2 linked regions of the Caenorhabditis elegans genome follow. The protein of the gene in region 1 interacts with the protein of each later gene in a pairwise test. Each region holds a gene or a part of one and is shown in the gene's direction. Other genes may lie near its edges. The genes, in order: gpb-2 and gpc-1.

Region 1 (5,245 bases):
TTTAATTTTTCCAGTGGATATATTCTAGACAAAATTGCATTTCAGTTCAATCAAATTTCTTGAATTTCATAGATTTGAGACATTTCTAACTGCTTCACATACAAACTAAAAAATTCAGTAAAAATAGCCAATATTTCAGTTTAGTCTCATCTCCTATCATTGCCCAATCTGCTCCTGTTCCAATTCCTGTCAATTATGATAATATTCCTGGTAATGCTAATTATATTCAACACACTCGTCAAGCTCCACGTCAAATCCACGTGGACTCATCACCAAGAGATTCTGAAATATCTCGTGTCATGGTTCCTGGTGATCAGGTCATGTTCTCTGCTGAAGATCGTTATTATACCTCGTCGACGGCTCCGGCAACTGCTCACCGACCTGATGCCTACAATGTTTCTCGATATTAATTTTTCTGTCTTTCACTTTTTCTGCTTGTATATTACGCTTGAATAAATATTTTGAGTCTTAAAATTATTGGCACTGAAACTACCGGTGTACAAGAAGTGTCTTACAGCTACAGCTAGTCTAGATTTCTGGTTTTAGTGGGGAATTTATTTAAACCACTTCTATAGTGATAACATTGTTAATTATCAATATCATAGTAAAGCTTTTCAGAAAAAAGTTGAATATGTTTATGCGCTGTCGAAAAGTGGTAAATTCTCATTTTCACACATCATAACTCTGCAAGTAGACAGAAAAATATGTTTTATACGAGTTTCCTATTTTTCTTATGCCTTTTTTTATTATAATATTGTAGGTTTTAGAGCATTCCACAATGCTATTCCCTGCGAAGGATAAAGTTGCAAAAATTTGACAATTTTCCATAACTTATTTTTTCAAAAAACCTAAAACGATTGTGGGACTTTTTAAACTGGTTTTACTCAACTTTTAAGCTAACCTAGCACTTTTTTATAATTAATTTCACTTCACAAAAACCATCAAGACATGTGCATTGCCTAATTTTAACTCATCCCGTTCTTCGAGCCACTCTCTTTTCCACATCTCTTCCGTCTCTTTTCATCTTTTTCCCAGAAACCGCGACGCGACCGCATTGCATTCTCTTTCCATTGCAAAAAGGACCGCTCGGCAAAACGAGAAAAGAAATAGAGAAAATAGTGAAGAGGGAGAAGCGAGACATAGCGGAGTAAGGCACGCAAATAGAATTCATTGCACCATGATTTCGGGCCCTCGACGGCTTTTTGTCGTGGCGAATATAGTTTTGTCTTAATCAATACCATCAAATTTATGATAATTTAATGATAATGTAGCCACATCCATCCTATTTTTGAGCATGTTCAACAGAATAACTTTGCAAAAAAGGCTTTTACTTTTATTTTTTATAAACGTTACTTATAAAATGTGTGAAACTCCGATCATTGCAAAACCTTAGGCAAATATAAATTAATAGTAATGGTAGTACGATATTTTGAATTACCTTATCAACATGTTTTTGGTTTAAAATCAAATTCTTTTTACATTGTGCTCGTTTCAATTGTGCCAAACTGTTGTCTAATTTGTTGTTTCAAATAAAAAATTAAAATCCAAAATCATGTAAATGATCTTGATCTTCCTATATATTTCTTACATTTCTAGGCATGTCCTTTAAGAATTTGGCTACTTCAAACTTATTTTTTTAATAGCAATGTTTCAGGAAAAATGTGCCTCTAAACCTCAAACAAACCGCCCATCTCTAATTGTTCTATTCAAATTCATTTTCTTCAACCCTCAGTCTTCTCTTCCTTTTTTTGCATAATTCGTCTTCTGATCTCAAAAAGAAACGCAATTTGAATGAGCACCATTGCTGGAGAATCGTCTTCCTCGTCGAAAATGCCAGAAAACTCTCAGCCAACAACAACCGAAAAAGGGTATTTGTACATTTTACATTACAAAGGGTTACACTACATTATTTCAGATCGGAATATTTAGAACAATTGGCAAATGAAGCCGAAGAGCTTAGAAAGAAATTGGATCAAGAGAGGCACAAGCTTAATGACATTCCTAGTAAGTATTTGAAAAAAATTAAAAAGATAATTTATTAGAATACTTCAATTTAAAAAGAGGGACTTTGAAGAAGAACACTACTAAAAAATTGAACTTTACAATTCCTAGGTTAGAAATCCTCCGGAGTCTTTTTTCTTTGTTTTTTTATTGAAAAAATAAACTTTTGAATTAAAAGCTCACAATCAGTGAGGATATTGAATAAAAATATCAATGCGGTTCTTCATAACCGAATATTATAATTGCCCAAATATCAATACACACCAAAAATTACGTCTAAGTTTTGGTAAATTGTCAAATCTAGGTGAAGTTGGACTTTTTGAGAACTTGTTTGACTGAAAAAAGTTGAAAAAAGTTTTTGAAAACTTTAAAGAAATTTGAGTTAAATAATTTGATGAACAAAAAGATACCAGATATGCTTTGTGATATTTGCATAATTCTAAATGTTTTCTCTTTGACTTTTTTGAGGTTATGCCTAATTTACTATTACCAAGAACTACAGTAATCCCAAAACGCACTAAGTAGTTTTTTACATCCTAAGTAATTTTCAGTTCAACAAGCAGCCGAACGACTTGACGTTATGGGAGCTCTTGGTGTAAAACAGCGTCGAATTTTAAAAGGACACGTGGGAAAAGTATTATGCATGGATTGGTCATTGGATAAAAGACATATCGTCTCTTCATCTCAGGTTGGTTTAAAATATGACTTACAAAAGATTCAGTAGTCTTCAAAAATTGAAACCTCGATTTCTAAAATGAATTTGCTCAAATTAGTAAATTTTAGGACGGGAAAGTGATTGTATGGGATGGATTTACTACGAATAAGGAACATGCTCTTACGATGCCAACAACTTGGGTTATGGCATGTGCATTCTCTCCATCGAGTCAAATGATCGCTTGCGGGTAAGATTTCTTTCAAATACTTCAAAGCTTTCAAAAAATACAAACGGTAGTACACGGACTTATAGTGTTCATGAGAATTTATTGTTTTTTTTTTCAAATTATAAAAGAGCTCTTACAGACGGAATTTTCAAAAATTGGCTCATGTATACTTTACCAATTTTGAAGCTTTCATGTTATTAATTAAAAATTTTTATTATTATTTTTTGAATTTTCAAAAATTCCAATTTTACAGAGGACTTGATAATAAATGCAGTGTCGTTCCACTTTCTTTTGAAGATGATATAATTCAAAAGAAAAGACAAGTAGCAACTCATACTTCTTATATGTCATGTTGTACATTCCTTCGTTCGGATAATCTTATTTTAACTGGAAGTGGAGATTCAACATGTGCTATTTGGGATGTTGAAAGTGGACAACTTATTCAGGTTTTTTATTCTCGCGAATCGGAAACCCAATTCAAAAATTCAGAATTTCCATGGTCATACTGGTGATGTATTTGCAATCGATGTTCCAAAATGTGATACTGGAAATACATTTATTTCCGCAGGAGCTGACAAACATTCTCTTGTATGGGATATTCGTTCAGGACAATGTGTACAATCATTTGAAGGACATGAAGCTGATATTAATACTGTTCGATTTCATCCAAATGGTGATGCATTTGCAACTGGATCTGATGATGCTACTGTAAGTCACAAGTGTTTAAACTTCTTCATTATTGAAAATTGGAGAAGGGATGGGAAATTATGGAAGCCTTGCACGACCATGTGTCGAATTACGCAGCTAGTGTACTCCTCGAGAAGAAGTGACAATATGCCCACTTCTCCTCGGGGAGTACACGAGCTGCGTAAATCGACACATGGCCGTGCAAGAGAATCTTAATTAAATTTCACGGTTATTCTTCCATTTTTCGAAAATTATAGTTTGGGAGAAAGTCGCGAGAGTTGCTTGTTTTGTCTGAAAATATTACTTTTTCCAGTGTCGCTTATTCGATCTTCGAGCAGATCGTCAAGTATGTGTGTATGAAAAAGAATCAATCTTGTTCCCCGTAAATGGAGTCGATTTCAGTTTGAGCGGTACGTTTAAATCTTCACAAAAACGTATAGTCCAAATCAATTCAATGCATCTCTGAAATTCACAGAACTAAACTTTTCACTCTAACTATTAAAAAATTACAGGTCGTATTCTATTTGCTGGTTATGGTGATTATCGTGTCGGTGTATGGGATTCGCTGAAATGCGCCCGTCATTCAGTACTTTATGGACATGAGAATCGTATTAGTTGCCTCCGAACTTCTCCTGATGGAACAGCCGTCTGCTCGGCGAGCTGGGATTGCACAATTCGCATTTGGGCTTGATTATTTAATATTAATTTTTCTCTTACAATTTTTGAGCTTTATGTCACTTTACTCATCCCCCTTCCCACCAGTCTCTATCCCTGTACTATTATCTAACCATCCCACTATTTTCTCCTATCTCAACTTTCTAGTCACAAATACTGTAAAGTACTCGTTCATTGCTGAATGATGTAAATAGAATTCACTAAATACACCTGTTAAAATACAATTCAAAAAGGCAAGGGTGAACTGTGAGGAAAGGAAAATTACATAACAAAAAAGAAAGAAGTGTGGAAAGTAGAGTATTCAATGAGCAACGTATGGCAAATTATCAGAGAATATTAAAAGGAAGAAATTCAGTGAATTGGTTATAAAGAGAAAAGTGGAAATTTTGATAAAACTGTTGCCCCGAAGATTTGATGAAGAAATGTGAAAATTATAAGTCAAATACTTATGCGCAGCAGAAGCATCTGACGCAGTTGATGATGATCGAGAGAATCGTGCAGACGGCAAGGAAGAGAAGAAGAACAGTAACCCAATCCTGAAAGAAACAAATTTAGAAATTAACATATTTAAATTTCAGCAGATCTTTTGAAAAATGAATTATTACCTGAAGACGGAAGCAACACTGATCAGCAATCTGTCCGCAGCACTTGAAGTACCAGAAAACGTTCTCTTCTGGGCAAGCTTGTCCGACAACTGGAAGTGGGCATGCCAATGGACTCCTTCTGATCGTGAGTGGCTCAATCGATTTGACGTAGTCGAGAAGATCATCTCCTTCGGCACTGACTGATGGGGCACAGGCAAGAAGTGCCATAGCGAAGAGGAACAGTGGAAGAGTGTATGACGACATTTCTGAAATTGCAAAAATGTTCAAAAAAAAGAAACGAATAAGAAATAGTTTTCAAATGATAGAAAATAAATCGAAGCAAGGGAGAAATGAGATGGGAAAGAAGAAAATGATGAGTAGATGGAAATGGAATTGAATCGGATTACTGCAACTAGT
Region 2 (3,590 bases), on another chromosome or scaffold:
CCTAATCACCTTTCTTTGCAGCTTTGTCAAAATATGATTAGAGTATAAAACGCATAGCTCATTTAGTAACTATGGGCAACCACACCTAATAAAAGTTTGGATAAGAAAGCTGATTGGTACGAGTTATGCTATCTGGTTATGAAATGATGAAAAGAAAACATAAAACAGGTGAAAGTAAAGAGCGAGCTGCTGACTTGTTGAGTTTTCTGGACTCTTTTTTTTTTGTAAAGATTTTGTTAAAATCACGAAAACTCGACAGTAACTCTAGTATAGCTCGTTTCTTTGGATTTTACTTCTGACTCACGAAGCGTTAAATTTTGTTTTGAATAGTGAAGAGATTTATGTGGTTTATGCTTAACGTTTTAATTATGGGAGTTATCAGCAATGAAAGCTTTTTACATATATACAATAAGATCCATTTAAAGCGTATAAAAAGTTTAGTTCTGTCCAAATAAAAACGAAAATTGGGGTTTCACATTATTTGAGAACCTAGTTGTATAATTTTCAGTAATTTTCATATTCTTCTCAGTTTGTTATAATTTTCTGCTGTCCAACGCAATTTTCGTTTTATTAAAATAGCATATAAAATAATTTAATTTTGATTAAAATTCAAGAAATACTAAATGTGATCGTAAGCTATTAACTAAATACAATTTCGTGTTGAATATTTTCAAAGTCAGAAAGTTAATACAAATCATCTTGCCTGTTCCTGATTTTTTACAAATAACAAATCTAGGAATCGAGACAAAAAACCAAATCTATATTCAAATGGTCACTGACAAATTTTTGAATACAAATCCAATCAAAACAACTATAAAGAGTTGGATTCGATTCATTCAGTTCTTGTTTTGATCAACAGAGCTTTGCAAACTGAGTGATTTTTAGATTGAGAAAGAAATGAGTTAGTAGAAGTATTAGTTTTTAAGAATTTTAGCCGCAACGTATTTTGTATGGTTATTTTGATGAATTATTAAAAATTAACATTTTTCTGGCCAATTTGATATTTACGTATAAATTATATTGAATGTAGCATATCAAAAATATTCAAAAATGTTCAATAATAAAATCAATGTTAAATCCGCTGGCGCCAAAATCCCTCCGAATCCCCTGAATTGTGGATTGACTAAGAGTAAAAGGAAGAGAAACGAAAAAGGGAGGACGACTTAATCCCGAACAATATTTTTTATGATGAAGAGCGCATAGGGCCGTCGTCAGTTCTCACACTGGATTTCACTTTTTACCGCCTCTCTTTTGTCGTGAAGAGTCTCAGAATCCAGATGTAAAATCCTCTCCAATCTATTTATTAAACATAGCTCAGTCTTCAATCTTTTAATTATAAACACCGTTTTAGCACATGAGCTCTTCTGCCTCGAAACCCTTTAATTTCGACAAAAGAGCAAATGCTCCGATCGTAAAATTGGTAGTTTCACCCACCAAACCTACTCATTTTGCGTCGACACCAAACTTGTCTCCTCGCTTTTTTTCTTCCCAGCTACCTTACTCATTTCACCAGTTTTCGCTATTGAGAAGAAGATTTGTTTTATCATATTTTGAAAATTTATTAGCGTTTCTTTCAGTTCCAGAAACCATCTGAGATGGAAAACATCAAGGCATCAACCGAACAACTCTGTGCTGAGGCCAACATTCAACGAAAAAAAGTTTCCGAAGTTTCAAAGGAGTAAGTTATTTTTTATGAGCAAAGGTGATTTACATATGAGAATAGGTATCTATTTTTAGTATTGCTACTCCGAGACGTTATTTGGATAATTCTCATTATTAATGTAAAAATTGCACATTTCTTGTTGGTATTTTTTTTGTCTAAAAGTGTACTTTATATCCTAAAGAAAGTGTGATACGTAACATCGTAATATGGCATAATTTGCTCCAGTTCTTTCATCAAACTGTGGCCAGGTTCATTAACTGTGGCAAGCACTAAACTGTAGAAATAATGAATGTCGATATTTTATTGGTAGGCATTCTTTCAACGATTTTCTTTTTTTTTTTGGAAAATCAATAACTTACTCGAAAAATCTTCAAGGCAATCGAAAACAACGCATAACTAAAATTAGGTTACACAAAAGTATAGTTTTGAAATACTTCACAATTTTAGTGATATTTAGAGTACATAATGTCGTCACAACCATTTCGACAGAACCGACAGAACGACAAAATTGTTTCAGATGTTTGAATAATTTAAAAACGAATCGAATTTTTGTAACCATCGAAAATTACAAGAATATATATGACAATGTGGAATATCAAATAGCAAAAGTGAAATATTTACTTATATGCAATCAAACTATAATTTCAGACTGCTCGATTTTTGCGAGAAGAACAAGACCAACGACATGCTGGTCTCCGGGCCAACCGATCAGCACAATCCATTCCAAGAGAAGAAAAGCTGTTCAGTACTCTAAATTGATATCGCGCATTCAAATTTCATTATCTACCGGCATTTCAAGACACGTCCCGATTTTTCACAATTCACGTTACTGTCCATCATTTCTCTATTCATTATTGCTCTATTGTTTTAGCTACACGTTTTTGAACTCTCAGTCCACAAGAAAATCAACACGTTCACCAAATCTCAATTTCCGATCTCAAATCTAACTTGCAATCTTCTTGTTTTTGGAATTGTCTTCTGTAGCTATCTGCGCTGATCACTTCGATCTAGCCAATTGGGTTTTTTTAGCATTGGCTTCACAAAAGACTGTCATTCTGAAATTTTTCAGTAGAATCGCACTCTTTTGTGAAGTTAAAGCTTTTTCCCGCAAAAATATACTTCTTAATTATTTTTTTTTCTACTTTCCTATGCATCTATAAACAATAATTTAAAACATCAGACGTTATTATGAAAGGACTTGGAAATGAATTTTTGAATCATATAAAAAAGTAAAAAATCAAAATGTTATAAAAAATCAAAAAAATGAATAACCCATGATTTTTAGAAACGGCTATTTACACGAGACAAACGGTCAAGATTATTGTGAGAATGTTCATTATTTGGAAAAAACGTATAAAAATGTTTGTATGTGAAAAATGCAACCAAAAATTTCATTTTTTCATAATTTTAATTGACAGGAAAATCGAAGGTAGTCTTTTTTCATCCATACTGTTCAGAATTGCCAGGTCTGTTAGAAAACACTAGGCAGAGTAGACTAGTTTTTACGAATGTTTTTAAAATAGTTTGATAAATGAAATATAAAGACTCCTTTTGATTTTACCGTCATCAAAAATTTTGAAAAAAAAACAGCTTCTGGACAAATATTGCAAATATTAAAAATAATTATTTTTTAGAAACTCGTGCATGTGGCACTACGATTTTCTAACATTTTTTATGATTATGGAAAATGGAAAACAAAATCTCAGTTTTTGCCACTATTTTGGAATTCATCGATCAAAATAAATTCCATCGAATTTTATGGTCTTCTTTTATTCCAACTATTACAATTCAAACATTGTAGAATTTGAATACGCTACATTCTCAAAGATTGGCAAATTCTCACCAGTTGCCACTTTTTGAAATAAAAATTTTTTAAATCAAACACAAAGTCGCTAAATATCTAATATAATATTTTTTGTAAGTGAAA

What was found.
Region 2: the proteins of gpb-2 (region 1) and gpc-1 interact in a two-hybrid assay, tested with the Caenorhabditis elegans proteins (one study listed by BioGRID).

Annotation. Positions count from the first base shown.
Region 1 is NC_003279.8:7,317,495-7,322,739, reverse strand, and holds gpb-2 (Guanine nucleotide-binding protein subunit beta-2), read left to right. Parts: upstream 1-1,654; 5' UTR 1,655-1,791; coding exon 1,792-1,868; intron 1,869-1,915; coding exon 1,916-2,004; intron 2,005-2,552; coding exon 2,553-2,689; intron 2,690-2,784; coding exon 2,785-2,903; intron 2,904-3,135; coding exon 3,136-3,328; intron 3,329-3,371; coding exon 3,372-3,590; intron 3,591-3,882; coding exon 3,883-3,979; intron 3,980-4,081; coding exon 4,082-4,260; 3' UTR 4,261-4,450; downstream 4,451-5,245. Other genes in the region: F52A8.3 (uncharacterized protein), read left to right, coding at 145-410; F52A8.1 (DUF2650 domain-containing protein), read right to left, coding at 4,691-4,780, 4,850-5,092. UniProt on the Caenorhabditis elegans protein: Guanine nucleotide-binding proteins (G proteins) are involved as a modulator or transducer in various transmembrane signaling systems.
Region 2 is NC_003284.9:12,880,417-12,884,006, reverse strand, and holds gpc-1 (Guanine nucleotide-binding protein subunit gamma), read left to right. Parts: upstream 1-1,577; 5' UTR 1,578-1,595; coding exon 1,596-1,678; intron 1,679-2,311; coding exon 2,312-2,417; 3' UTR 2,418-2,836; downstream 2,837-3,590. UniProt on the Caenorhabditis elegans protein: Guanine nucleotide-binding proteins (G proteins) are involved as a modulator or transducer in various transmembrane signaling systems.